4 linked regions of the Pelodiscus sinensis genome follow. Each later gene encodes a partner of the first gene's protein in a complex. Links are inferred from orthologs where the notes say so. Each region holds a gene or a part of one and is shown in the gene's direction. Other genes may lie near its edges. The genes, in order: SMARCD1, PHF10, PBRM1 and DPF3.

Region 1 (6,984 bases):
ACTGCCTCCTCCTCTCTCTCTCTCAGCTCTCCTCTGCCTCCTGCCTCTCTCTCTGTCTCTCTCTTTTTCTTCTCCCCCTCCTGCCTCTCGTTCAGGGTGCGTGTGGGGTGCAGAGCCCAAACGGCCGCTTGCTCCCCCGCAGCAGTCCGGCTGAGCAGTGCAAAAGTCAGCCGAGCACCATGGTGGTAGGCAAAGGGAGGTGGGGCGGTGACATTCACGGCCAGGAGGCGGGGCCTGGAGCTGCTGTCACGCCGCACGTCACCACCTTGAGTTCTAGCAGTTGAAGACTCGGGTGTACAGGGGCAGATGACCATTTTGCAGGGCCCAGGGCAGCACAATTTTGCGGGGCCCCCCTTTGCCACCCGCCGTGGTGCTCAGCTGACTTCTGCACCACTCAGCTGGGCCGCCACGGGGGAGTGTCAGCCAATGGTCAGGGCAGTGTGTGGTGTGTGTGTTATACACCCACAGGGGCGGATACAGGGCAGGGCGAGTGGGGCGACCGCCCCGGGCTTCAAGAAGCTACGCACATGCGCTGTGGCAAAGGGGGGCCCCGCAAAATTGTGCTGCCCTGGGCCCTGCAAAATGGTCATCTGCCCCTGTACACCCGAGTCTTCAACTGCTAGAACTCAAGGTTCCTTCGCAGCAGGCGGCCTAGGGAAGGCCGATGGGTGCCCCAAAGTTTTATGTCCATGTCTTTAGCCGCTAGGACCGGGGTCCCTTCACAGCGGGCAGCCAACAGGCTGATAGATGCCCCAAAGTTTGCAGGGAGAGCTTATTATACCCGTGTCTTTAGCTGCTAGGACTAGGGGAGGGTCCCTTTGCAGCAGGCAACCTATGGAAGGCTGACAGATGCCCCTACGGATCTGTCCCCTGGAGGCAACACGATCCAAACGCCCAGCTCTCCCTCACTGTGTCTGCCCTATGACCAGCTGGAGTTCTTTTAAATTGTGCTTGGTTCTGTTACAGCAACTGCAGGAGTCAGGTTAAAGCTTAAACAGTTACAGGTGTATTAAAGAAGAGGACTGGGGTGGCTCTGCGGGCTCCTCGGGGTGGAAGCTCTCCTGCAGCCCCCCGATTGACCCCCCGCCCCCGGATGGCAGCCTGCGGCAAGTGCAGCCGGTCTGATGGCCAAGTGCTGTGATGTGCCGAGTGTGGGCATTCAGGGCACTCCAAGACAGGACTGCTTTGCTGTCCCTCATCGAGTTAGACAAGCAAGCAGGGAACCCTGAGAACTGTCTGTCCGGGGTGGGGGTTGGGTCCCTTTAAGCACAGCCCTCAGCTAGCCTGAGGCAGCAGCTCCACACCCTAAGTCCTAACCTGATGCCCTGCTGGCACTGCTTCCGGCCAGCCTTAACTTCAGTTCAGGGTCCACTCAATGTAGATATGCTGTTTTGAATTAGCAAAACGCTAATTTGAATTAGTTTTTAGGTCTAGATGCACTAATTCGAATTAACTTAGTTCGAATTAACTAATTCGAATTAAGTTAGTTCGAATTAGTGCTGTAGTGTAGACATACCCAGAGGAACAGCCAGCATTTCAGGAAATAGCGCCCCCCCAGAGGGAACAGCCAGCATTTCGGCGTTACAGACACAGACACTGGGCTACTATATATATGATAATGGCTTGTCGAGTAGACAAACTCTTTGTTATTTTGGAATAACATCAGTTGGTCCGGAATGAAGCTGCTGTGTAAACGCACCCTTTAAGGGAATGCTGCTCCCGGCCTGCTGAAAGGGCACTCTTCAGCGCCAGGCCCCAGTCTGTATGCAGGGATGGGCTTCCCGCTGCTAAGACCTGGCCTCCTCACAAAGCTGCCACACAGCCAGGAAGCAAAGAGGAAGCTGGTAGAAACTGCAGTGGGCAGTTAGGGAGACAGGAAGGAGTTTGGCCAAGGCCCCAGTGCTAATACCTTGTCTGTCATGCACAGCACCACAGGAAGCTGGCTTTATGGCCCCTCCCATGGTGCAGCCCTGTGGTCCCACTCCAGGGCAGTGTGTATGGAAACAAGCCCAGCACACCTCAGCCACAGAGGACTTCCTGCCCCTACAAAGCAGCATCACATTAGCCTCCTACTTAATTAAATGGTGCTCAGCAAATTTGCCACCGGATATTCCAGGCCTGGAGCCAATCAGATTAGAGGGTCCCAAGCGTCCCTTCAAGAGGCCCTCTGGCACTAATGGACTTTGGCTTCCTGGGGCTCCTCTCATTCAGTTAAGACTCTGCTGTGGACCTGTCCAGCTGCTCCATTACTGCCGCAGACAGAGTGGATTAGAAGCCATTATCTGCCTTGCCCCTGGGAGGTAGAAATCTGGACTGTGGAACCTGCAGGCAGCCAGCTTTGGCTGGGGCAGCGTGGGACACAAGCCCAGGGCCGGCCTGAGCCTTTTTGGTGCCCTGGGCCCAGGCGCGCAGCGCTGCCCCCGGGCACATGGCACGTGCGCAGGCCTGCCCCCCAGGGTGCCCCAGCCCATCCCTAGGGCACACAGCGCATGGAGAGCTGGGCTAGGCTCTGCTGGAAGAACTTTCTCGTAGACTCACTCACAGATGAGGGTTGGAAGAACCTAGTCCAGCCTTCTGCTCCATAAAGGTCCAGCCCCAACTACCTCATGGCCTTGCATTCCCTGTGTTTGTGTTAGGATACATTAACAGCAGGAGTGATGGTTGCTGGTGCAGCCAGGGTGCTCTGGGCATCAGTGCTTGTGGGTCCCTGTCCCTCTCCCTCCCTCATGAGCACAGCCCCCTGCCCCTTTCTACACTGCCCTCTGTTTGCCAAGCATGGCCTCCTGTTCCCCAGGCAGGCCCCTGGCACTGTCCCTCTCTGTGCCAGGTCCATCTGCTGCCAAGCTTGTGTTGGGTGAACCCACATTGGGTGGGGGTGGGACTTGAGCCCTCAGCCTCTGGCGGCAGGTACTTTATCCACTGTGCTACGGGATAGAGCCCCCAACCTCCCTACCTTCAGGGCCCCCTTTGTTCCCAGGCTGCATGTTCCATCCCTCAGACAGCTGGGGTGGCTGTCCCCAGGGAGGCAGGGCTCAAGTGCTGTACCTCTGGCTCCAGCGGCAGGTACTTATCCACTGCACCACAGGAGACGGTCCTGAACCTCCCTCCCTTCTGACCTCCCTTATCCTTTCTTTGTTACCATGGTGAGTGCTCCCCCATGCCCCTGGGGACATCCACCACCAGCTTCCCGAGGGATGGAGCTGGCATCATGGGAACAAAGGACACAGAAGGGGGGCCCTAAAAGTAGAGAGGTTGGGGGTCTCCTCCAGTGGTGCAGGGCATAACATACCTACCTGCAGAACCAGAAGCACAGGGGTCAAGCCCCCCCCCCAACACAAGCTTAGCAATGGATGGACCTGGCACCCTTGGGACATAGGACAGATATGGGGGGGGGCTCTGAAGGCCAGAAGGTTGGGGGACTCTTCCAGGGGCGCAGTGGATAAGGTGCCTGCCTCCCACAGCCCATCTGGAAGGCCTCCACACCACACTGCCCCCAGGCACAGTCTCTGCCTGCACCATTCTCCCCACCAGTGGCACAAGTACCCTTCCCCTGTGGGGTACCCAAGAGAAGCCTGAGGAGTATGTCAACACAATGGCAATTTGGAGAAAACTGAACTTTTGCTGTAAGTTTTACAGCACTTTATTGTTTTTGTACTTTTGACACCCAGAAATGTCATCACCCAGCCAGCTCCAATTAAGTTGCTTAAATAAATGTGTTGCAATGGGTAGAAAAAAATGTTGTGTCTGAAAACTGTAGGTACTGGGGGGATCTAGGTAGACAGAGGGATAGAAAAGGATACTTATAAAAAAGGCTCAGAAACACGGCTCTAGACGACACGCGGCCCCTTGCAGCTCCGGCCTCCCAGCGGCAGGGGGAGCAGCCTGCGTCCCGCGCCTCTCTCGGAGCTCTTCCCCGCGCACTCTATGGCTCCTCAGGCGCCGCTCTGCCCGGCGCGCTCTACGGTCGGGGTCCGGTTCCGGTTCCGCTCCCCTCCCCCGCTTTGTGCTGGGAGAAGATGGCGGCGCGGGCGGGTTTCCAGTCGGTGACTCCGAGCGGCGGCAGCGGGGGGGCCGGAGCGCTGGGGCCGGGCACCCCGGGGCCCCCCGTCCGCATGGGCCCGGCTCCCGGGCAAGGCCTGTACCGCTCCCCCCTGCCGGGCGCCGCCTACCCGGTAAGACGGGGGGGGGGGCTGGAGGCAGGAGTGGGGGAGGGGATAGAAGCGGGGGAGAGGGAGGGGCCGGAGATGGAGGCGGAGGAGGGATGGGGGAGGGGTCAGGAGGGGGAAGGGTTTGGGCTGGGGTGCCCCTAAGGGAACAATAGGAAGGGAGGAAGGTCCCTGAGGGTGAGTCAGGGGGTGGCCGGGCTTGGTCTTTGTCTGAAGTGGGGGCAGTAAATGGGGCGGAGGGAGGGGTCTGAGCACCCTCGTGTCTTGGGGGCATAGGAGGCCCGGTGAGTCCAGGGCTCTGGGGTGAAGGAGGATGTGGGGTGAAATGACAGCAAGCTGGGGCTCAGGGCAAGGGGAGAAAACAGCCTCAGTGCATGGTGAGGTGACTTGGCCAACTATGGGGAGGTGTATTTGAGGGTAAGGAGGAAATGTTTGGGTAAAATTGGGGGCACAACAGGGTGAGAATGTCATCAGGGATGCCCTGAGTAAGGGTGAAATAAAATACAGGACTATGTAGCACTTTAAAGACTAACAAGATGGTTTATTAGTCTTTAAAGTGCTACATAGAGTCCTGTATTTTGTTTCAGCTACACCAGACTAACACGGCTATATGTCTATCACTGAGTAAGGGTTACTCTCATTTTAAAATGTGACCCTAAAGAGAAGATTGAGTAGAAAGAGGGGAGCTAAGAGCTGAACAAGGAGAGAGGAGAGGCAGCCTAGACAAAATGAGTGAGCTGAGGCAAGGGTGAGTGTTGGAGTATCTTATGGGAATGTCAGGAGTGATGATTCACTGAGTGGAAGTGAATTGTAGGCAGGGGTTTGGACATAAGGCCTACAGTGGGGAGAGGTGTGTAAAATTAAGAATCGTCCTTCATAGCCAGCTTTGCTGGTTATGGTTTATATGTTACAATCCCGTTTATTCCTGGTTGGAAGCATCCCATTCTGGAGCTGCTAGCCCTGTTGTGATCTGAGTCCATCTAAGCAAGCCCATGAGTCACATGGCTTTGTGCTCCCAGCAGACATGGCTTGGTAGCCTACTTGTACTTAGGACTTAACAGCCCATTGTTGGTGAGTCTCCATCTTTCCAAAGTTTGGGTTGGATGGAGACCAGATCCCTGTGTTTCTCTCCTCAGCGCCCTGGCATGTTGCCAGGCAGCCGCATGACACCTCAGGGACCCTCCATGGGTCCCCCAGGATATGGTGGGAGTCCCTCAGTCCGGCCTGGAATGGCCCAGTCTGGTTTGGATCAGTCCCGCAAGAGGCCAGCTCCTCAGCAAATCCAGCAGGTCCAGCAGCAAGCGGTTCAGAATCGTAACCACAAGTAAGAGGCCAGATTTCTCACCTCATTATGAGGTTGATTTATCTTTTCTGTGACCACTTAGTGACTCCTCCTGAAGGACACCAAATTCCTTCACAAGTTCTATAATTATAATACCACCAAAATCCAGCCCTCTCTAAAGCAGAAGGCTGGAACAAACCAATTAACAGCACATTGCTGAATAGTTATTCAAAGTCAGGCAGATTTTGTCCAAAACACCAGTGCATCCACCCCACCGACCCTTACAAAAGTGCTAGGGAGACTCTCAATATCCATGTCAAGCAGACATAATCTAAGGTGGTTCAGAAAGAAAAATGCTCACGAGGAAAGCAGTATCTAAATTGAAATAGGCCACTTATGAACCTCCAGAAAATAGGGATCAAATCATACATTTTTGTCCATCATATCCAAAGAAACCCCTTTGGATGCTAGTGGGCCACATTACAAAAATGGACTGGCCAATATTCAGTAATTCGTATGCTTACCACTGATATCAGAGATCAGCACATTGCTTTGTTGTTTGGGTCATAACATCTGGGACTTCTGTGTGAGTATGTCTACACTCGCACCCTCTTTCAAGAGAGGGATATAAATGCAGCTGAGCAAAATAACCCTTATTCCTCCTACAACGAGGTTTACCAGTTATTTCGGAAGAAGGTTTTTCTTTCTAAATAACCGCGTCTACACAGCTTTTGTTGTTTTGAAATAGCACCATAACATTAATATGCAAATGAAGTGTGGGAAATTCACAGTGCTTCATTTGCAATTTTGCTCAGGTGCATTTGCATCCCTCTCTCAACAGAGGGTGCAAGTGTAGACATATTCTGTGTCCCTTGCTCCCAGCATACTCATGGACTTTCTTCTTTAATTGTTTTGGCTCAAACTGACTTAAACTTTTTGTGCAGCTACTTCGCTGGGTGATGGGAGCTTCAGATAATAATATTTTGCTCCTATTCAAGAGCAAGAGTTTTTATTACTTAACATATCAACAGTATTGCCTGGCTTAAAATACTTATCTGTTAAAAAATCCAGCTTAATATTTAATCAAACCCGAGAGTCATTTTGTGCCAAAATAAATATTTAACCGAACACCTCTCCAAACTCAGGGCAACCCCAGCTATCTATATCTGTTGGGATACTTCAAATAATAGGTGGTCTTGGTCTTGCAGGAGCTTCTGAGCTTCAGTCCTGCTTTGGCCTTGGGGAGGAAGGGATGGGTAAGGAAGGTGTCTGTATAGAGACTGATAGTCACAATAAACAGTCTTTGAAAGAGAGAACTGGACTGAGCCAGTTGTTATGGAGCAAGTACCCTCATAGCGGAGTCCCAAGACTGAGAATAAACCCACACCTGTGCTTCTTTTCTTGTGTTCTGGCTGTTTGAGAAACAAACTGGTTGCCCGCTTAATACATGTATCCTTCTTTAAACAGCGCTAAGAAAAAGAAAATGGCTGACAAGATTCTACCTCAGAGGGTGAGTGAGGGTTTTTATTCATGCTT
Region 2 (7,638 bases), on another chromosome or scaffold:
TGGGCCAGAGCAGTGTGAGCTCTGGTCCCACCCCAGCCCGGTGCCCCCCTAGCATGATGCCCGGGGGCAACCGTCCCCCTTCCTCCCCACTTTGCTACACCTCTGCTGGGGACCTTGGCAAACTTGGAGGGCTGGAGTGGGGTCCGAGATGGCTGGGGGGGTCAGCGGAGGGGGCATAGGCATGGCAGGGGGAGCTAGAGTGGGAAAAGGGGCTAGAGTGGGGAGGGCTACAATGGGAACAGGAGCCAAGTGTGCCATCACTTCCCGGATGGAGGTACACAAGTTTTTGCCCTGCTGCACAAGCTGGTCCCACATTCAGTTGTACCACTTGGCTTCATCCCAGACCTTTTGGGCCAGGGTTCATTGCATGTCACGCAGGATGGCCACGTGTTCCCTCATGAGGTCCTCATGGACCCTCCTGCACTTGCAACTCCAGCGGGATCGGGCAGCTGCCTCTGATGGCATGGAGCACCCCTCAGTGATGGCTAGTCCAGCTGTGGAGGAAAAGAGGGAGAGGTGGTCAGTCATCCAAGCAGACACTGTGCATGAGGCCATGCCCTCCTGTGTGAGCAGAGACTAACAGTCCTTGGGCCAGAGGACGGTGATGTCTCGTGAGCCAGGCCATGTGTGGCCTTCACTGCAGGACGAGCCCCAGGGACCACGCTTCCCACCACCCCACTCCATCTTCACAGACAAGCTGGCAAGGGAAGTGTCCAGCAACAGTGGGATCCCATGGGCGGGAGAGGGGCCTGGAGCAGCCTGGCCTTCCATGGGGGCTGCATACACAGCTGACCTGGCAGTGCCATCCACAAGAGCAGATGGTTCCTTGAGCATGCAAGCATGGTCGTGTGCTGTATGTGGCACCCCTCAAAGTGCTCAGGGTTGTGCCTGTGCCTGTGCCCGTGTGCTCAGTCTGCTTCCAGCAGTGTCTGGTGGTGGGAGGGAGTTCCCCATTGGTCAGACGTGTGTGGGTCCTCCACACAGCCTGTGAGCACGAGACCATGGGTGCTCCAGGGCTAGCTTCTGAGGCCATGTGGTACACACTGCCGCTGCATGTGCTTGCACGTGCACAGAGTGAAGCACACTGCCCAGGCTGAGCGACGATCGCTCCTCATCCCCTCTGCACCTCCCTCTCCTGCCCTGGTATGTGTGTAAAACTGAGCACTCACCTGATGATCCCTCCCCGTCATCAGAGGATACCTGGGAGATGTCCAGGGCTTGGGGTACTGGCTCCAGGGTGAGGGTGATTGTACTGGCTGTGTCCTCTTCATCCTGCAGCTGCTGTTTGTCCTCCTCCTCATCAAGGAGCTCCGGCTAGATGTCAGCAGATGGTCAGGGCAGTGTGTGTGTGTGTGTTACACCCGAGTCTTCAACTGCTGGCACACAAGACCCCGTCGCAGTGGGCAGTCTAGGAGAGACTGACGGGCGCCCCGAGGAGTTTAACATCTGTGTCTTAGTCTGCTAGGATTGGGATCCCTTCGTGGAGGTCAACCAACAGGCTGACAGATGCCCCAGAGTTTATAGGAAGAGCTTATTACATCTCAGATTTTAACTGCTAAGATACAGGATCCCTTCGCAGCGGGCAGCCTAGGGAAGGCTGAGAGATGCCCCTACGGATCTGTCCCCTGGAAGCAACACGATCCAAATGCCCCAGCTCTTCCTATATCTGTCCCTTATGACCGGCTGAAGTTCTTTTAAATTGTGCTTGGTTCTGTTACAGCAACTGAAGGAGTCAGGTTAAACCTTAAACAGTTAGACTGTGTCTAGACTGGCCAGTGTTTCCAGAAAATCAGCTGCTTTTCCGGAAAAACTTGCCAGCTGTCTACACTGACCGCTTGAATTTCCACAAAAGCACTGACTTCCTACTGTAAGAAATCAGTGCTTTTTGCGGAAATACTATGCTGCTCCCATTCAGGCAAAAGTCCCTTTGGTGCAAAACTTTTGCACAAAAGGGCCAGTGTAGACAGCTGAGATTTGTTTTCTGTAAAAAAGCCCTGATTGCAAAAATGGCCATCGGGGCTTTTTTGCGGAAAAGCGTGTCTAGATTGGCCACGGACGCTTTTCCGCAAAAAGTGCTTTTGCGGAAAAGCATCTGTGCCAATCTAGACGCTCTGTTCCGAAAATGCTTTTAATGGAAAACTTTTCCGTTAAAAGCATTTCCGGAAAATCGTGCCAGTCTAGACGTAGCCATAGGGGCCCGTATCTTCTTTCTTATCTAAGATGCCAAATTGTGTTGGCCTGTCTTTGTGACGCCAGTTCCTACAAGGGAGTTTCAACTTAATTTACACTTGCAAGAGAGATAACTAAATTGTGAGTACTGGACATTTTTTTACTGGGCGGGAGATTCCTGCCCCCTGGACAGTGTGTGTTCGTATCAATATAGGTTTCAGTCACGGGCACTCCTCGGCAGCCTCTTGGTCAGCAATTAGCGTATCTCTGTTTACAGCCATCCAGGGTCACAGCAGCCTGCATATTCGGGCCTTCTGTCCAAGGCTTTCAAAGACTATGCTGTTTTACTGGTCTGTGTGCCCTGCATGCTTCCAGGCCAGCAAAGATGGATGTTACAGGGTGGTTCCTGTCTGGCTACACTAGGTGACCACAGGTGTCTTGAGTCCTGAGTCCACCATTATGGGTGGGCAAAGGGCTTCACCATCCCCCAGGATTCTGTGCAGCTCCTTGTAATTTGGACATGTGTGAGGTCCTACTCCAGAGCAAGAGCTGTGCTCCCTGTCTCTGGCATATCCTTGGCGCAGCTTCCTTGACCTTGCTCCTGACTTGGTCCAAAGTGTGGGGGTGGTGTCCCCTCTTGGCTAGAGCCATCTGGCCATATATGTCAGCATTCTGCTTCTGGGAGTGGGGATCCTGCAGGATGGCCTCCTCCCCCCACAACTTGAGGAGGGACAGGATTTCTGCCCCAGACCAGGAGGGTGCGTAGCATTTGTTGCCCTATGCTGGGCCTTGGGAGCCCTGATGCTGCTCCCTGTGAGGGCTATAGGGATCTTGGGGGGCTTGTTGCTCTGCCATACCTCCCAGTGTGTGGCAGACAGAGCCGTGCGATAAGGGTGCTGCTCCATGGCCAGCTTCCTGCCACAAGGCTTGGCCCAGGTGTCTGCAGCTTTAAGAGCTGGCACGAGACAGGAACTATAGAGTTGTGATTAGTATGGATGGAGTGTCCACCTGGGCCTATGTTATTTCCTGGAGACCTTTTCTTTCAAAAGAAATGCCCCCTCTTCATCAACACATGCCTTTTTCCGAAACAGCTCTTTCGGAAAAGGTGTTCTTCCTCGTAGAAAGAGGAGTACCGCTGTTGGAAAAACCTCTCTGTTCTTTCAATTTACTTTAGAAAGAATACGATTGCAGTGTGGACGTAACTTAAGTTTTGTTGAATCCTAGCATGCAAAAATTATCGGATTAGACAGCGATAAACCACACATGCAAATTGTGCATCAGAGTCATAAAACTGGCTACAAATGCATTAAAAACAAGTCAAAAGCTTAACAAATGGAGACTGTGCCAAAATGCTCCTCACTTGAGGCACCGCCTGGGCTTGGTCTGGCTCTACCTGGGGGTCTCCTCTACCACTTCTTGGGCTGACAGCTGTAGCCCCTTGTCATAGGACTGAGCAGTTAGGGTTGACAACAATTTATATGTAAAGTTAACTAACCCTCGCTGGTGTTCTGGCAAAAGAACTCTCCATGGCTATGTCTAGACTGCAGGCTTCTTTCGAAAGAGGCTCTTTCGAAAGCATCTTTCGAAAGAGCCTCTTTTGAAAGAGAGCGTCTAGACTGCACGGAGAAATTTCAAAAAAGCGGCTTGCTTTTTCGAAAGAAAGCATCCAGTGAGTCTGGATGCTCTCTTTTGAAGAAGCCCTATTTACATTGAAGAACGCCTTCTTTCGAAAGAGGAACTTTCGAAAGAAGGCGTTCTTCCTCGTGAAATGAGGTTTACCGCCATCGAAAGAAAAGCCGCGTTCTTTCGAATTAATTTAGAAAGAACGCGGCTTGAGTCTGGACGCAGGGGAAGTTTTTTCGAAAAAAGGCTACTTTTTTCGAAAAAACCCCTGAGTCTGGACACAGCCCATGAGAAAGGGAGAACCTGTGCATGAAAAAACAAAAACCAAACCCTGACATTGGTAGGGTTGCCAGGTGTCCGGTTTTGAACGGGACAGTCCAGTATTTGAGTTTTCTGTTCAGAAAACAAATGGAGAAAATAGAAATGTCGGGTATTTTCTAAATCAGCTGTAATGCAGATTGTGATGGAATGTCAAGCGTGTCTGGTATTTTTGTTGAAACCATCTGGCAAGCCTGGACATTGGAGCGTTGTGGCAGACCAGGAGTGAGGGGTCTTTTACTTAGAAATTGTGTCTGGTGATACAGTCTCAGGGCTTGGCCTTAGGGCTGAGACTGGTTTAACACCCCCCCCCCCAGTAAAGGCCGCTGGGGATCCGCCGGGAGAGGCTAATTAGAAAGCGGGAGTGAGAGAGAAAAGGGGCGCAGGCACTGGGGGGTGCGCAGGCACGTGGGGAAGGCCCTGGTGGGCGGGGCCGCGGGGAAGGGGGCGCAGGCACACGGGGGAGGGCCGAGGGGAGGTGACTCCGAGAGGGGGGTGTCGGGTGGGCGGGGCGCACTGCGGGTCCGGCCAGCAGGGGGCGGGGCGGGCGCGACGCCGGGGACGCTGCGGCTCCTCGCCCCGCCCAGCGGAGGGAGCGGGCGGCGGCTATGGCGGCGGTTCTGTCCCCGCGGGTCTGTGACAGCGACCCGGCCACGCCCGGGGCCCAGTCCCTGAAGGTGAGAGAGGCGGGCCGGGCTGGCAGCCCCTCCCCCTGCGCGGCGGGATTCTCCCGGGAGCGCGCGGGGGGAATCAGACCAACCCTCCCCCCCCCGTGTTATGGGGGAAGTGACCGGGCGGGAGCCAGCCCGTAGCGCAGCTACCTCCCGCCCGGCCTGTTCCCATCGCCCCCCCCCCGGCCCACAGAGACCCCAGCCCCGTAGGGAGCCGTGGCCCGGGGGTGGGATAGGGAGCCCTGGATGCCTCTTCCCGCGAACGGGCTACAGCTCCTCAGCCTTCTCGCCAGAAGGGCTAAGCCCGGGCAAAGGAGATACAGCTCCCGGGGCTCCTCCAGGGTTGGCTTCCTGGCCTGGAAGTTGACCAGTTTCTAGGTTTGGGACTGGCCAATCTCGCAGGAAGCTGAAAGCCGCCCCCGTGGGCCAGAGATGAGCAGTGGCTAGTATCTTTGCAACGGGTCTTTCCAGTGATGTGCAGCTGTTTCCTGCATCTCCCCTTCCTTCAGATTCAGAGGTGACCTTAGCAAATGCTGTCTGAAAGTATCTTGGATAACTCAAGCTTGCAAGTGGTCTAAAAAGGCCTAATAATAATACAGAGTACTTTTATTCAGTACCTAGGAGGTTAAATATCATCTCATTTATACAGATGGAGAAACAAAAGTGCACAGAAGGTGGACTGGTCATACAGGGAGTGCATGGAAGAACTGAGAATAGAGTATTAGATTTAAGTCCAAAAAGGATCATTTTGGTTAAGACTGATAAATTTAGTTTAATCAACTAATCGAATAGTCTATGCAATTTTCAGCAGCTATTCAGTTAGGGTACATCTACACTTGCTCCCTAGTTCGAACTAGGGATGCAAATGTAGGTGACCAAAATTGCTAATGAAGCGGGGATTTAAATATCCTGCGCTTCATTAGCATGATCTGGCTGGCACGTTAACTCCGCTCAACAGCTGATTAGACCCAGGAAGTGCGTGCCAGAACGCGTTCGAACCAAACCCCTTGGTTTGAATTAACGTTACTCCTCGTGCACTTCCTGGTTCGAATCAGCTGTTGAGCAGAGTAACATGCTGGCAAGATCATGCTAATGAAGTGCAGGACATTTAAATCCCCGCTTCATTAGCAATTTTGGTCACCTACATTTGCATCCCTAGTTCGAACTAGGGAGCAAGTGTAGATGTACCCTCAGTCAATAAGGGCACCTTTGCCTTTGAAATGTAGCAAGAGCCCTGATGGCTCTTGCTATGTTTCAAAGTCAGAAGTGCTGTGGGAGCAGAGGGCAAGCAGGGGACACAAGCAGTCCCCTGCTGGCCTGCAATTCCTGATTTTGAAATGTGCAAGAGCCTCCCCTCACCTGGGGCTCTTGTACATTTCAAAAGCAAAGCGTGTGTGGGGGAGTCAAGCAGACTGAGGAGGGCATTTGTACATTTCAAAAGTAGGAAGCACAGGGCTGACTGCTTGAGGTCCCCCCTCCCTTGCCCTCTACTCCCACAGTGCTGCTTCTTTTGAAATGTAGCAAGAACCCTGCACCAGTTCTCCACTGTGCTCTCCTTGCCCTGCCCCCTGTGCTGGGAGGAACTGGCTTTTAAGCCAGTTCCTCCCAGCGCTGGCTCCTGCTCTTCCTCCTCCCCTTCTTGCTGCCTCTCTCTAATAGAGACAGCGGGCGGAGGGGTGCTACTAGTCAAGTCACTAGTCGACTATCCAATATGCTTATTGGATAGTCAACTAATCACTTACATCTCTAATTTTGATCATTGGTTTGATTTGATCTGTGTATCCTAGCTCCTTTTTTCCCAAGTCTAATAGCTATGGTTGAACTAGACCAGGCATGTCCAAAGTCCGGCCCGCGGGCCAATTGCGGCCCGTATTCCGGTTTAATACGGCCCCCGCTTCCTCCCCCTCTCCTGGCTCCCCGGCGCTCTTTGGAACTGGCGCACCCAGCGCGCCGCTTCTGGCCGCACCGCCGCCGCCGCCGCCCATGGCCTCCGCGGTCCTAGAGCCTGCCCTGTAGGGCACGTCCGCAGCCCCGCTCCCCCGCTCGGCTGCGGGTTCGCCCTGCCCCCGGGCCGCCGTGAGGCCGGCGTGCCCTGCGCTCTCCGCCCGCCTCCGACCCCGCGGGCCCTCCACCTTGGGGCTGAGAGTGCAGGGATGGCCCTCACGCATGTTCACTTCTTCAAATCTGGCCCTCTTTGAAAAAAGTTTGGAAACCCCTGAACTAGACCATCTCCTCTGGAAAAAATCTTGTGTTATGAGCTGGATGAAAATTTGTTTTGGGTTGAGTTAAAACTGTATTGAAATTGATAAGTGTAAATTCATCCTTCAGTTAACATAACTCTAAGAGCATATACTGCTAACTAAGACAAAGTGAGTCTTTGCCCACGATAGCTTATGCTCCAATACATCTGTTAGTAAGGTGCCACAGGACTCCTTGTTCCTTTTGCTAAATAAGAGAAAAGGAGTGTGTGAATGGGCCCAGGAGCTTTTGCTGAGTATTGAGGAGGGTGTGTGTATCTGTGTGTGTGTGTGTGTCTGGAAGCATGGTGGCTGACCTGAAGAAACTAGGGGCAGTTTTTGTGTTGAGGTGTGGCATGAAAAGAATGCCCTTGGTGGTGTGAGCAAAAGAAGCTGTTTCTTGTTTTATTTCTTCTGTATCTAGAGAAACAGGATGTTTGTGTAGTTTTTTTTAAATAAACAAGACTGCATCAAGTAAATATCTTTCACTAATTTCTACTCTCATTTTGAACACCACAGGCTTTGGCAGAAAAAGAGCAATACTAATATTAAAGTTTCTAGTGATAGCTGATTATCTGCACTTAATTTTGCACTTCATTTATAGTCTGAATTTGTCTATC
Region 3 (6,857 bases), on another chromosome or scaffold:
GCTTTTAGTTTCATGGTTGATTGCTGAATAAAAAGAGGGTGGGAGCAGATAAGAGAATTTGAATTAAAATATTGTCTTTACACAACAGAAGGTAATAACAGTTAGAACTACAATATTTCCAACAACATGAAAAAGCAACAAATCCGGGAATACATGTCTTAAGAAAAAAGATACTTCGAGGATTACATTTATCACACGTATACATCTTAATGGACTCAGACCTAGCCAGGCTGTGATATTTGCAATATTGTTCTTGAACACTGCATGAAAATGGATGTTAGCACTAAAACAGACACCCTATATTTACTTTGATTAAAACGGATGCATTATAATTGCCATATCCTCACTAAATATATCAACAAGTCTTTTCTGTTGCTCCAACATGAAAACAATGGGAATTTTGCCATAGACTTCAAAGGGTGCTGGATTAGGCTTTATGAGAGGATAGAAACTTTTCTATTGTGCTGCAAGTGAACTAGCTTCTTTGAAAAAAAGGAAAATTATACTACAAACACATACCTTTTCTTCTGGATGTTTCTTCGTTTCGGTAGCATCCTTTTTAGCTTGTAGCTTTCTTTTCTTTTCAAGGTTCTTCTGCCTAGCAAGTTTCTGCTTCTGTTTTAGTTCTTCAAGCTAATTGCAACACAAGATGGACAACATTTCATAAGCTAAAGAGTATATTTCCTTCCCACTTATGATCAGGATTGTTTATGACGTGCTTCAGAAATAAAGAGCAGCACTATAAAAGTGCAACACATTACCACCTAGAATTATTCTTTGAATATTTTGCAGTTTTTAGTGCTAATGAATTGTGCCAGGTTAAGCGCCCTAGAAAGCTAAGTTCTCTATCCACATAAGGAGTGAAATTCTGGTTGCAATGACTTAATGGCAAAACATCAATGGGACCAAGATTTCACTCTTGAGTATGGTTTTTGTTTTAATCTTGACCTAGTGTGGTCACACTGAAGGAAAGGGGATATTCAGTCTCCGTTATCCTTTCAATCTTGGTATGGAAATATTAAGAAATCATGGCTGGGAGCTTAAGGAACTGGTTGGCTGATGCAAGCTTATTTCTACTCCTTCTCTTACTTGATGAAAAGTTGATACATTCACTGCCAATTAAACGTTTTGAGGCACTCAGTTAACTCTGGTGCCAAGACAGACAGAAATACTATAGTGACAGACACCTTCTAAATGATGGTAGATGTGGTCCCTCTGTGTAGTAACATGAGCAGACAGTGAATGCTATCCACAAATATCTATGTACAGCAGTCTTCAGCAATTTTTTTCCTTTTTAAAGACAGCTGTGTAGGTTATGTAGAAATCTTATTCTTTGTAGGAAACTAATTATGCTAAAAATTCCACACATTTGTATTTTACTTCTATACAGTTACAGTACAAAATACTAAAAAATTCCACACGATTTAGTATAGCTAGTTGTTATCTAATATATTAAATTGGAAAAGTATCTGTAGTATTTTAGAGTGAAGAGCTATTAAGACTATTTATAGTGCATGATACATACCAAGCTTCCCTGGAATGGGAATATGCACAAAACCCCTTCATTCTATTCTAACCTGTAATTTACCCTTTGTTTCCTTTGCTCAGCTTCACGAAGAACTTGTTCCTTAAATGGTGCAGCGTTGGGAATTCCTGGATCTTTCTTGGGCTTTTTGTGTCCACGTTTCTTGGCTTCTTTCCTGAGTTTTCTGTTGTGCTCCCGAACCTATAGGCAAGAAAAAATAAAATCCAGTATGGGAGTCACAAACCCAGTTTGATACAGAGACCCTCACCATTCTCTCTCTTTCATAGTCACGTATATACGATTTTTCTGTGTTTGCAGTGAAGGGCTTTCAATTACAGACTGAATCAGCATGTAGCTGTACTTAAATAAACAGATCCCCGACTACTGCAGAAATTAAAGATCCCAAGACTCAAGTTATGTCCATCTCTCTGCCACTGTGGATTTGTTCCCTAAATTTAAAAGTAACTTCCCATTGTAGTTGAACCATATGTCCACTCACAAAAGTTCTGTATTACATAATTTTTGTATTATTTGTCAAGGTATTTGGCATTAGAAAAGAAAATGATTTGTACATGCGTGAATTCTTGGCACTGGGATATTAATATCTAGCACTTAAACTATCTTGTTAGTCTTTACTTAGGTGATGAGCTTTTGTGGGGCAGACCCACTTCTTCAGATCGTATCATACCTTATTAGTCTTTAAAGTACTACATGACTGCTTTTTTTGTTTTAGCAAGATCAGACTAACATGGCTACCTCTCTGTAACTAGTATCTAGCATTCACATTATAATACAAATTGCACTCAGGCCATAATCAATTTATGAATGTTTATTCAAACAAGAAACACCAACAGCTTTGAAATTATTCGGCTAGTTACTAGTACTACTGTGATATAAGAAGTTAAATAAAAATAACACCACACTCCAAAAGCATTTTGGTCATTCAAGCACCTTCATTTAGTTATGCTTTAAACAGAAATGGGTTCTATTCAAAACTTTACATTCAATCCCCCACCCAAATTTGAATGCAGAGCTGAAATTTACAGTTTCTAAACACCACAAAAATATGTCTTTATATATTCTATGATGAGGGCTGAAATATAGCCAAGCATGCTTAATACCAAATTTGGCACTGGGACCTACCTTTTTCTGAATTTTATATCGTTTGTGGCAGGTCATGCGCTTACTAGCCTTCTTCAACTCTGAAAACATAAGAACAGGTTGCAATTAAGTAGATCTTCCAAATGAAAATCTTATGAGCAACACTAATGTGGAAGCCAAAAACATGTAGCCAAAGAAGCTTAACAAACAACAGATTTTTGGTTCAGATGGGAAAAAAAACCAAAATTTTATTTAATCCAAATGATTCCCCACCTCAAAATATTTTGCTGAACTGAAAACTAAAAAGGGACTTTTAAAATCGATCAAAATATTTCATTTGATCAAAACAATTTTTGTCCTGATTTTTTTGTTTCAATTTAGTCACTTTTGGGTGTTTTTTCACTTTGGGTATGTCTACAGTAGAGGAAGATGGAAGCTGTCGCTCTTCCAGGGTTCGAATTAACTGTCTAGTTAAGACAGCTAATTGGAAGTGAGAGGGGCACTCTGGCTGATGCAGTGACCATGCTTTCACCAGGAGGGAGGGAAGTCGATGGAAGAGTGGCTCTTACTTTGACTTCCTGCAGCGTAGCCAAAAGCTGAATTAAGCAACTTCATCTACACAATTCATGTAGCTGAAGCTGCAGGTCTTAATTCGACTTGGCCCCGTACTGCAGACATACCCGTTATGTTTTATCTTTTTAAAGGGTCAGATTTGAATGTAAGACAACATCTTAGGTTTAAATCAATCGACGTTCACTTTTCAAAATTAACCGCTATTTCCGTTGTTCCTGGGCTGAACCGACTCGCTGGGCCGGGCCCGAAGCGGCACCTTTCGGGCCGCCCCCCAAACCCCGGGTTGGAAAAAATCGAGCTCAGCTCCACACGCGGGCCCCGATCCCGCAGGCAACTGCGAGCACGTGGGGCGAGCCGCGCTGTGGCCTGGCCCTGCCGCCGCAGGCTCGTAGGAGCCGGGGGGGGGGGGGGGGGGCCGACGGGCCCCGGGGTCCCAGCCGCAGCCGCCGTCACCCCCTCCCCTCAGCAGCCCGGAAGAACTCGCGGGGGGGGGGGGGCTCTGCCAGCCCCTCGCACGCGCGCACTCACTGGGCCGCTTCATGGCGCGGCGGCGGCGGGCTCCGCTCTCGGCACGTGGAGGCCGCCGACTGGCGAGGGGCAGGCGGGTCCCGCGACGCTGCCGTAAAGCAGGCGGGTGCCGCTGCGCGCGCTGTCGCGCGGCGGGCTCGCTTGGCGGCCGGGCGGGCTTTGCGGCAGCGGCGGGCCCGGCAGTGGGCAGGAGCGGCCGGAACAGCAGCAGCGGTGGCGGGGGGCGAGCGCGGCCGCGGCTGTCGGAGGCGGAGCGAGGCCGGCTGGGTAAGCGCGGGCCGGGCTGCGGGAGGCCGCCGCTTCCCTTTGTGTGGCCGCCGCGCTGCCCGGGGGGGCCCAGCCCCTGTTCGCACCGCTGCGCCCCCCCCGGAGCTCTCCCGCCGCGGGGGAAACTGAGGCACGGAGCGGGCAGTCCGCTCGCCGTACGGACCCGGGAGCCCTGGCCCAGCGCTGACCCCGGGGGGCACGGCCTGGGGCACGGCAAAGCCCCCTCGACGTGTAGGGGGAGGCCCCGCCCATGCCGAGCCAGGACCGACTAACCCTGCATCATCCCTTGTGTCCAGCCGAGGGAGGTAACAGCGGAGCCGATTAGCTGATCAGCAAAGCGACCAGTCCGTGCTAGAGATACACCACTCTCCTCCCCCAGTACATCTTGTAGCAGCCGGGTTCAGTCCTGGCTTGCGCGGGGTCTGGGACCGACCCCCTGCTGCGGCTCTGCATTTAAACCGTATGAGGAGCCAGGCGGGCAGGCAGCCCGGCTCAGTTCCAGCTTGCGCCAGGTCTGGGAGCTCCCCCCTCTCCCCACGGACAGGGGCTGCTGCAGCACGGAGTGGCAGGGGGCTCCTCGGGAGTGGGGCCAGAGCATACTGCCTGCCAGCCCCTCACCGGGGACTATAGAATAGCTGAGTAACCAATTAACCAATATTTAACACCCCTAGTCCAATCTGTTCTTAAAAACTTCCAGGGATGGGGATTCCACAGTCTTCATTGCCACAGCACAAGGGGCTTTGGCTGGGGCAGCTTCCCCTTCAACTCCTCCTCATGTGTGGTTAACTGATCAAATACTTTAACTGGTTAACCACTTAACTGGAATTTTATATCCCTAAAGGGAACATATTATCATTTTATATGATTACTGATAAATCCTGAAACACGTTTGACCATATGAGGAAAAGTCAGTGGAGGGAATGATGTACTGTAAAAGGATAAAGTTAGCAACATTAAATGCACATATTTATTTCTTTATTAATTTTTGAAGGGGTAATGGACAAGGGACAGAATGTGACCACTTATTTGATCAACTACTGGGTAAAATACAGGTCTGCTAATATTCAAATATTACTAAATGGTACTTTAAAGGAATACATGTTCTAGGAAAGTTTGTGAGGCCTTTTCGGTAAAAGGTTTTTGGGAGGATTGGGTCTATATATGGCCCTATAAATATTAATAAAATATTTTTGTATAGCTACATACGCATCTTCAAGTATTCTACAGTTGTTAACTATGCACCCAGTACTTTACAGGTGAAAAAATTGAGGCCGAGACCATCTATTACATCATCCTGTTTCTGTATTTTGATTTGTAAGACTGTCATTCACGTGAATTTGTCTATCATTTCTACCTGCCCTGACATGTTCTCTGGGACAGAAGCGGTATTTTGTCCCTTTCTGAGAAAAGGCTGAAAGAATTAGGCATGCAGTAAAACTCTGATGGTCCGGCATCTGATGGTCCGGCACCATCAGGAACCCGGAAGTGCTCCGGGCAGCCGGACCATTGGAGCTGCTCTGCCCCCTGCTTCCCCATTCAGCCGCTGCTAAAACTGACCAGCGGCTGAATCGGGGATGCCGGGGGCAGAGCACCTGGGGCTCTGCCAGGTTGGTCCCCTAGCTCTGCCCCTCGGGGCTGCTGGACCAACTGGGCAGCATCCCAGGTGTCCCTGATTCAGCCGCTGCTGAAACTGACCAGCGGCTGACTCCAGGAAGCCTGAGGCAGAGCTGCTCTGCCCCGGGCTTCCTGGAATCAGCCGCTGATCAGTTTCAGCAGCAGCTGACTTGGGGACACCTGGGGTAGAGCAGCTGGGGTGCTGCCAGGTTGGTTCCCGCAGAGCCGAGGTGTGGCGCTGCGGGGACCAACCCGGCAGCGCTCCAGCTGCTCTGTCTCAGGCGTCCAGATTCAGCCGCTGTTGAAACTGACCAGCGGCTGACTCCAGGAAGCCTGGGGCAGAGCAGCTCTGCCTCGGGCTTCCTGGAGTCAGCCGCTGGTCAGTTTCAGCAGCTGACTTGGGGACACCTGGGGCAGAGCAGCTGGGGTGCTGCCGGGTTGGTCCAGTAGCTCCATGGAGCGGCGCTGTGGGACCAACCCAGCAGCACCCCAGCTGCTCTTGGGGACGCCTGGGTTGGCACTACCGGACCAACCCAGCAGCACTCCAGCTGCTCTGCCCCAGGCGTCTCTGATTCAGCCGCTGCTGGTCAGTTTCAGCAGCGGCTGAATCAGGGATTCCTGGGGCAGAGCCGGACTATCGGAAGGGGGGGCTATGAGGGGGTCTGGGGTGTCATTCCCCCCCCCCTCATAGCCCCTCCTTCTGATAGTCCGGCATATCTGATAATGTGGGTCCCAAAGGTTCCGGATTATCGGAAGTTTACTGTATTTAGTCCAGAGCAGAGGTTTTCAAACTGTGTGTCAGGACCCCAAATTGGAATGCAGCCCCATTTTAATGTATTGCCAAGATTGGTGCTAGACTTACAGGGACCTATGGTCAGAGCCAGACCCCTGTCATCAAGAGCTTTGCCGTTCCTCCCCCAGTCAGTGCTGAAGAACTTGGACTTTGGCTTCTGCCCTGCACCCTGGGGTGGTGAGGCTTGGGCTTCAGTTTTGGCCCTCCTGTCCAAGGTGGCGGCACCTGGGGGAGATCCTGTACTAATTTTTGTTGTCAGAAAGGGCCAGGGTTACCCAGGTAAGCCAGTAAGGGCATGCTTATCTCTTAAGTATTAACCCTTTGTATCCCTAGTTTCCTCTGTCATTTTGTGACATTTACCAATGATCTGAAAACGGTTTCTGCAGTAATGCGAAGGATGCCCACATAGCAAAAAATAGTTTTCTTGACATCTGTGTGTCTGCCTTATTGGTTGTT
Region 4 (7,341 bases), on another chromosome or scaffold:
TCGAGCGCTCCTCCACAATTCGGGAAGCCAAGGGCAGCAAAGCCAGCCATGACGCTGTCCAGATCTGGTAGACAGACGAGCCTGTTCAGCAGCTCCGAATTGATGGCCCTCACCACCTGCAGAAAGAGACAGACAACAAAATGTTAGAAGGGGTGCCTTATCTCTTAGGAGGAGAACCCACCACCCACCTTCCCTCTCAAACACCCCGGGAATCCCCTCCTCAGAACTCCCCCCCCCCAACAATTCAGGGTGAGTGGAGGAGCTCCCTCACACTCCACTTTGCCCTTCCTGACAGTCTCCCTTCCCCCCACCCCAAACTGTGACTGTCCCCAGACAATGACTTACCTCCATCAGGATGGATCCAACAGTAGACCTGCCCACTCCAAATTGGTGTCCCACGGAGCGGTAGCTGTCGGGGGTTGCCAGCTTCCAGAGGGCAATGGCGACCCTCTTTTCCACGGGGATAGCGGGCCGCAGGTGGGTGTCTTGCCGTTGCATAGCAGGGGCGAGCCAGGTACACAGCTCTTGGAAAGTGGTCTTTCTCATCCGGAAGTTGCGTAGCCACTCTTGGTCATCCCAGAGCTGTATAACGAGCCGGTCCCACCAGTCAGAGCTGGTGTCAAGCCTCCAAAAATGCCTGTCCACAAAGAAGTTTGGAGGCAAGGGCAGTGGGGCTACATGACGGACGATCCCTTCGTACCTCTGGTCTGGGTCCAGATGGGGAAGTAGCCTCATGACTGTGTCATGCAGATGCAGCAACACTTGTAGTATGATGGCGTGGGGCCATCGCCTGCCCAGGGGCAGCTCTGGCTCTATGCCGAAAAAACGGGTCTAAAACAGAAAAACCTCCAAACAAAAAACCTGCTGGGGTGTCCCAGGAAGCTGAGCACTCCAAATCAGCACTGCAATGCTTTGCTTACCTCCTAGAGGGACAGCAAAGGCAGCTGCAGAAGCAGAGCAACGGGTGTTCAGGGGCGTCCCTTTAACCACGCGTCTCTGCAAAGGGCAGGCAGCAGCACCCGGAAGGAAATGCTGCCCCCATGCCCTAGCAGAAGCGGTTCCAGGTGGCTTTTAATTTCGAAAGAGCGTCCAGCAGTCAGGACGCTCTTTTTCGAAAAAGCGGATCGATTTTCCGATCCGCGTATTGTAACACGAAATACTTTCGAAAAAGCCTCTTTCGAAAGAGGCTTGCAGTCTAGACATAGCCTTTGGGAAGAGAAAGACAAAACATTTCTGGAGTAGCTTTGTTTAACTTGTTGTTTTTCAGCCAGGGCTATGCATACCTCATTGATTTTCAGGGGTACGCAGACAAAGGTCTTTCAGGGGATACATTCATTCAGCTATATATTTGCCTAGTTTTACAACAGGCTATGTAAAAAGTACTAACAAACTCAATACAAACTAAAATTTCATACCAACAATGACTTGTTTATAGTGCTCTATACACTCAAATTTAAGTACAATATTTATATCCCAATTGATTTATTTTATAATTATATGGTAAAAAGAGAAAGTCAGCAATTTTTCAGTCAAAGATTGCTGTAAGACTTTTTTGTATTTTTATGTATGATTTTATAAGCAAATAGTTTTTAACTGAGGTGAAACTTGGGGATATGCAAGACAAATCAGACTCCTGAAAAGGGTACAGTAAGGTGGAAAGGTTGAGAGACATTTTAATTCAAATAAGAGCTGTCTGAAGTTGCTCAGGGGCTGAGAATGTTACAATAAATTCCATAGAGGTGGACTAGGAAGCACAGTACAACCAAGGCAGTGAAAGGGACACTAAGTTCTTTACTCACATAGTTTTGCAATTTATCCCATGGTTATAAAATGTATCATTATGCTGCAGTTTCTCAGATGTTTATCACCTTCATGCATGTGGTACCCATCAGTATGTAAATATAAATGTTATATAAACAAATCTATGGCCCCCTAGGGATGATTATGACTTTTCTATGTGACAGTTCATGGCCAGTAAGAATCTGTGACAATGGAGATAGAACCAATTTTCTCCTATACTTTGAGCTAAAGGAGAAAGGTTTTATCTTGCTGACAATGACAGAGTTAAGCAATTCTGATGCTATCTAGCATAAGCCATAGGTACCTGAACATACTATCCTGTTAATTTCTCTGAAGGACTATGTCACATATGCATTTACCAACAATTTGCAGTTAGCAGCTGACTTTCTCTATGGCCAAGAGGGAAGTGGCAGACATGAGGTTCCTAAGTCATATCCATTGCCTTCTGGGCCAATATTATATTAAACATTATTATAATGGGCTTTGGACTCTTTGACCCCATTCTTAATTCAGCCCTCTGTTCCAGAAGTGCTGCTGTCTCAAACCTCCTTTGAAACCCAGACATATCACAAAACATTCATACTTCCAACTTACCAAGTTCTGAATGAGTGAAAGCAATGGACCATGATCAGTGTTCCCTCTAAGGTGAATGGCTGCGCACAAAAAATTGTAAGCCTGCCCACCTCCTTTGCAGAGCTGTGCTGCAACACTCACCTTTCTATTGCACGTGGAAGGTGGCTGGCATGGGGCGGTGTGGCAGGTGGGGAGGGGACAGGCCTGCGCCCGGAGTCGCATTGGGGGGCAGATGCTCTGGAGGGCAGGGCTGCATTGGGGGCTGGCTACCACTGGGGACCACGTAGCAGGAAGGTTGCTCCTGCTGGGAGTTGGGACTGCAGGTGGGTGGGTTCCTGCTGCTAGGGGTTGGGGCTGTGGCCATGTGGAGGGCAGAAGCTTTCCATCGGCCCCGGATGGGGCCAGAGCCGGAGGCATGTAGAGGGTGGCAGGCAGGCTGCTCTGGTGGTCCCAGCCAGGGTCAAAGCTGGTGGCACCTAAAAGGCCTCTCTGAGGGTGTTCCTGGAGAAAGACTGGATCTTGCTCCTTCATGTATTGCTGGTGTCACTTTCAAACTCTGGGGGTGGAGTGTTTCCATACCAACTTGGAGCCTCTGTTGAAGGGATTCTTCATTCTAGTTATTAAAACAGAAAAGGGAAAGGTACCAAACAATTGAAATGGTCAGAGTTGAGAACAGATCCTGGATGTTAAGCCCTCTTGCTGAATATGCTTAATGAATGGGTCACTGCCCAAGAGTCTATGCCATAAGCATGTCTGGCACTAAGAGCTGAACTGTGTCTTTTATTGCAGCCTTGAAATGTAGGAGATACTGTGTATTGTGAGCTGGAGGAGAGAAGGTAGGACTATTGCAATTTGCTTTTATCTGTACCCAGCTCTGCTGATGACTTTCTGTATGACTTCTGGCAATTTATTGAATAGTCCGTGTCTCAGTTTCCCTGTCTATAATATAGGGACATTGTGCCTCAAAAGCATTACAGAAAGTTCGGGATGCCTTGTTCATTTAATGTGGGCAAAGTGGAATGAGACTGCCAGTGCAAAGGGGAAACAGTTCTCGGCTACATTGAGTGCCTAATCTTGCCTTAGTAGGTCAAGCTATAGGCTTCCTACCCATTGCCAAATCATGCCACCCCTGCCCTCATCTTAACACCCTCAGGCCCCCTTGGCGGGAGCTGCAAGAAAACAGAAGGGGGACCTTTGAGAGGTACAGAAATGTTGTAAGGCAAAACCTACATTGATGTCTGACAAGAAGAAACTGCTTAAATCTGAGTGTGATCTACCTTCTGCTAGATCAACACTGGTGTAACTTCACTGATTGTGGTGAGGTTCCTTCTGATTTACAGTGGTATGAGAGCAGAATTAGCCACTTCTTGAGTGTCTTAGCTCATGCAGGCTAATTCATTTGCATACTCTTTTTTAATTAGTCGAAGATAAACTCTGACTTCCTGGAGTTAGTGCCTCTCCCAGAAATGGGCATTTAACAGCTGTATCTGTTCCAGGATTCTTGACTCCAAGTCACTCTGCTACCATGAAAGTAAGTGTCATATGAAATGTAGATTAAAATCCTCCCCCCTCCCTCTCTCCATGTTGAAAGATCAGAGGCCCAGGTCTCAACATGTTAGACAGGACAATCACTTCAGAAGTTGCTTTGTGGGAAAAACAGAGAACAGGCAGGCAGGCAGTTTGGCCACTGTGCATTATGTAACCAGTGCACTGGCTGCAGAAGCTGGATGACTGACATTGAGAAATTCCTAGGGGAGGGGGAGAGGGTGCTGCCCTGGAGTCACTGTAAGCACTAGGAGTTCCAAGAAGCCTAAAGGGGAAAGTGGCTTCAGGTAAAGGAAAACACATTGGGAATAATAAAGCTCAAGAATCTACTGCACCAAATGTCAGTACACCTGTAGTTTATTTTCCTGATGAAATGGCATGCATCCAACCCTTGCACATGAATAAGGGGACATGCCATTTGGGAAATGAAAGGCAGGCACAGCAATCCACAAAGACAAGGTATTCACCCTCATTCCTTTCTCTAGATTTCTTGACATTAAAGAGTCAGATAACTCCAAAGAGTCTTCTGTTCCACATCCTAGCCCCCCTCACTCTAGTTCGGTGTAGTGACAGTCCCTAGTGTAACTGCCCCTTTAAGACCTGCTCTCTTCCAGTTCCACAGAAAGGGAGTGACCTCTGGGCTTTGACAGCTCCCCTAATAACTAGCACAGCCCTGGCTCCGCCCCCAGCGCCGGATTGGGCGGCAGGCCGGTATCCCGTCTTCTGATTGGCTGGCCGCTTCCCCTAAGCGAACCTTTAGAACTCTGAGACACAATATTCTGTTACATTGTAGCAAAATGGCGACTGTCATTCACAACCCCCTGAAAGCGTAAGTAGGAATCAAAAATGTACATATTCCGCGTGGTTTAAATATGAAAAAAGGCGCCTTTCCGATGCTGCTGCCAGCCTGAGCCCGGTGCCTCCAGCCTCCCAGCTGATCTCTCCTCCCTCCCTCTTGCCTTTCTGAGCTCCTCTCTTTTTGTGCAACACACACGGGCGTCTTGCACTGAAATTAACAAAAAGAAATTGTTACATTTGGATTGTGATTAATTGGCTGGCCGAGAGGGAGGGAGAGTGGAGCTCTGAAGGGGAGGATGGCAGCGGGGCTTCTGGCAGCTCTCGGGGCTGCGGGGATCTCGGAAACGGCTAGGTCCTGCAGGACCCCTGAGGAGGGGCTTGCACTTGACAGAGTCCTGAGCCTGTTGTCCGGGCTGTCTCCCCCCGCCACCAACTCCGTGTCCACGGGAGAGGGATCGGTCCTGGAAGCCGGGAGCAGAACTGTCTGTGTTGCAGCGCTCCGACAGCAGTTCGGAGTTTTCTTTTGCAAAGCTTCTAGGAGTTGGGATGAGTTGAAAAGGAGGAAAGAATCAGCCACAGCGTTTGCTGGCTCGGGAGCAGAAGGGGCTGCACCGCTCGTTTCCTAGCAGGGCAGCAGGGGCATTGCAATTACACTTCGGTCTGTGTGCGAGGACTGGAGAGCCGGACTTGCGCGGAATGAATGACTCGGGGTCACTGCTGGGTGCTTTTTAGGCAGGAAGTCTAGAGAGCTCGTTGCCTAGGGGAGGTTTTCTCTTTTGAAAGTGGCAACGAGAGTTGATTGTGTTTCCATCTTGGGCTGGACACACTGGTCGCCGAAATCTGCCCGGATGTAAATGAGAAGCCGAATCTGGCCAGCTGTTTGCTGAGAGATACAGGCGCAGAGTATTGGGACAGGTGCCTCTGCTCTAGAAATATGCTGGGTTCTCCGATCTTGTATTAAGGCGGATTTAAGAGAGGCACACAGGAGCTAGGCATTTTTCTCTGGATCAGGTCCCTCATTTCCTTGTGGCCTGCAGCACACACCGTTAATCCCTCTAGGCATTAGGGAGAGGGGGATTTGGCACCGTCTGTGGGGGAGAAAAGGGGCTGTCTCAACCTTTTAAAAATGACTTCTGTGCTAGGGGGCAGCGCTTGCTAATAACACAAGACGCTCACAATGCAAGAAAGCGGCGTACCTGGGGGAGACACTTCATTTGGACTTCCCAGTCACACTGCGTGGGTATTTTATCCGTTTGAGGTCGTAGAGATGTAATTCCGACTCTGAGCTGTGTCTTTTCAATTAAACTTTCCGATTGGAGTTGGGAAACCACTTGGAGGTTTTTCCCGGGGATTCCAGCGGGGTTGTCTCTGTGCTGTGCAGCAATCTGGAGGAAGGGGAGCTGTACGCCGGGAGGGGGTACACGCACAGCTGTCAGATTTGCATCGCTCCTTCTCCATTTTGGCATCAAACGTTTGTCTGCCATTAAATAGCCTTTCATTTAGCAAATGGTAAAAATCGGTCGAGAAGGGGGAAGTGCCCTTAGAACAGGGCTAGCATAGGAGTAGTAGCTGTCTTTTGGGGAGAAAGACAAAACCCGGTGAATATGTGTGTGGAGTATACAATGTGCCACCAATCAGATTCCATATGTTATAGTTGTCCCAGTGAGAACAACTTCTTAACGCGCCTCCCCCCGCATTCTGCAGCTTAAATCAGTTTAATGTTTCAATTAAAAAATAAATCTGAGTTAGATCAGTCCCGTTCATTGCCAGAGTAACTTCCTGAAAGCACCGTAAGTAACTCTCCGGTATACTTTGTCTCTCTACACATATAACACAGCGAGCGAGGGTATCTTTAACTGGACCAACTTCGGTTGGTGAGGGAATGCATTGTCCTAGGGGTCCGTTTGGTGTGGAGCGACATGCCCTGTGTCTGGATGTGACGACGGCACTAGGATTCCTAACAATGGAGGTCGGGGCTGGTTTTCTTTCGGCAGAATCATTCATTTGTTGTGGGAGGCGAGCTTCCTAAAAAGCAGCCGAGGAGTCTCACGTGGCGGGGCGCGGGGCGGGTGCGTGGAGCGCGAAGGGAAACCTGGTTCTGCGCTGGCTGACACGGGTGCAAATGAGGAGTCACTCCACATGGAGTGACGGGGGCGGGAGGAGATTTCAGCGTGGGCTGTCCCTTACCGAACGACACTGTTCTGTTTTGTGTTAGCTTTGTACGTTCTCTAATTGTGGAACATGACACACTCACACCTGTGATTTACTTCTCCCTTACGTACTAAATCCTGCCTAGTTTGGACGGGTAGTTACATTCTTTTGAAGCTCGGCCCTGTTCCTACTGAAGTCAATGGGAGCAGGAGCAGGTCTGTTATAATTAGCCCCCTTTTCCTCCCCCTCCCCCTGGGGTGAGAAGAGAGGAAACAATAGACCTCAAGTGCAGGGTTTGCTTTTCTCTGTGCGCCTTTTTAAGTACCACTGCTGGGTAGGGGAAACAGGACTGTCACTGGCTGTCTGACACCATCTGTCTTTTTTTTTTTTTTTGAACAACTTGTTTAATAAAACATTCTATAATTTCCATTTATTGTTACAAGTTGCTGATCAGGAAACAATACACATGTAAAT

What was found.
Region 2: SMARCD1 (region 1) and PHF10 share a complex: the UniProt entries of both Homo sapiens proteins name them as parts of the neural progenitors-specific chromatin remodeling complex. The link is inferred for Pelodiscus sinensis from reciprocal best matches to the Homo sapiens genes SMARCD1 and PHF10.
Region 3: SMARCD1 (region 1) and PBRM1 share a complex: the UniProt entries of both Homo sapiens proteins name them as parts of the SWI/SNF-B (PBAF) chromatin remodeling complex. The link is inferred for Pelodiscus sinensis from reciprocal best matches to the Homo sapiens genes SMARCD1 and PBRM1.
Region 4: SMARCD1 (region 1) and DPF3 share a complex: the UniProt entries of both Homo sapiens proteins name them as parts of the BAF complex. The link is inferred for Pelodiscus sinensis from reciprocal best matches to the Homo sapiens genes SMARCD1 and DPF3.

What each region holds. Positions count from the first base shown.
Region 1 is NC_134729.1:6,453,506-6,460,489, reverse strand, and holds the start of SMARCD1 (SWI/SNF-related matrix-associated actin-dependent regulator of chromatin subfamily D member 1), read left to right. Parts: upstream 1-3,977; 5' UTR 3,978-4,016; coding exon 4,017-4,172; intron 4,173-5,302; coding exon 5,303-5,490; intron 5,491-6,915; coding exon 6,916-6,958; intron 6,959-6,984. UniProt on the Homo sapiens protein: Involved in transcriptional activation and repression of select genes by chromatin remodeling (alteration of DNA-nucleosome topology).
Region 2 is NC_134713.1:121,613,173-121,620,810, reverse strand, and holds the start of PHF10 (PHD finger protein 10), read left to right. Parts: upstream 1-4,633; 5' UTR 4,634-4,718; coding exon 4,719-4,787; intron 4,788-7,638. UniProt on the Homo sapiens protein: Involved in transcription activity regulation by chromatin remodeling. Belongs to the neural progenitors-specific chromatin remodeling complex (npBAF complex) and is required for the proliferation of neural progenitors.
Region 3 is NC_134721.1:41,055,323-41,062,179, forward strand, and holds the start of PBRM1 (protein polybromo-1), read left to right. Parts: upstream 1-3,856; 5' UTR 3,857-3,994; intron 3,995-4,267; coding exon of another isoform or gene 4,268-4,277; exon of another isoform or gene 4,278-4,292; intron 4,293-6,310; exon of another isoform or gene 6,311-6,857. Other genes in the region: GNL3 (guanine nucleotide-binding protein-like 3), read right to left, coding at 1-23, 520-633, 1,589-1,726, 2,669-2,727, 3,196-3,241. UniProt on the Homo sapiens protein: Involved in transcriptional activation and repression of select genes by chromatin remodeling (alteration of DNA-nucleosome topology). Required for the stability of the SWI/SNF chromatin remodeling complex SWI/SNF-B (PBAF).
Region 4 is NC_134714.1:68,031,508-68,038,848, forward strand, and holds the start of DPF3 (zinc finger protein DPF3), read left to right. Parts: upstream 1-4,336; 5' UTR 4,337-4,715; coding exon 4,716-4,747; intron 4,748-7,341. UniProt on the Homo sapiens protein: Belongs to the neuron-specific chromatin remodeling complex (nBAF complex).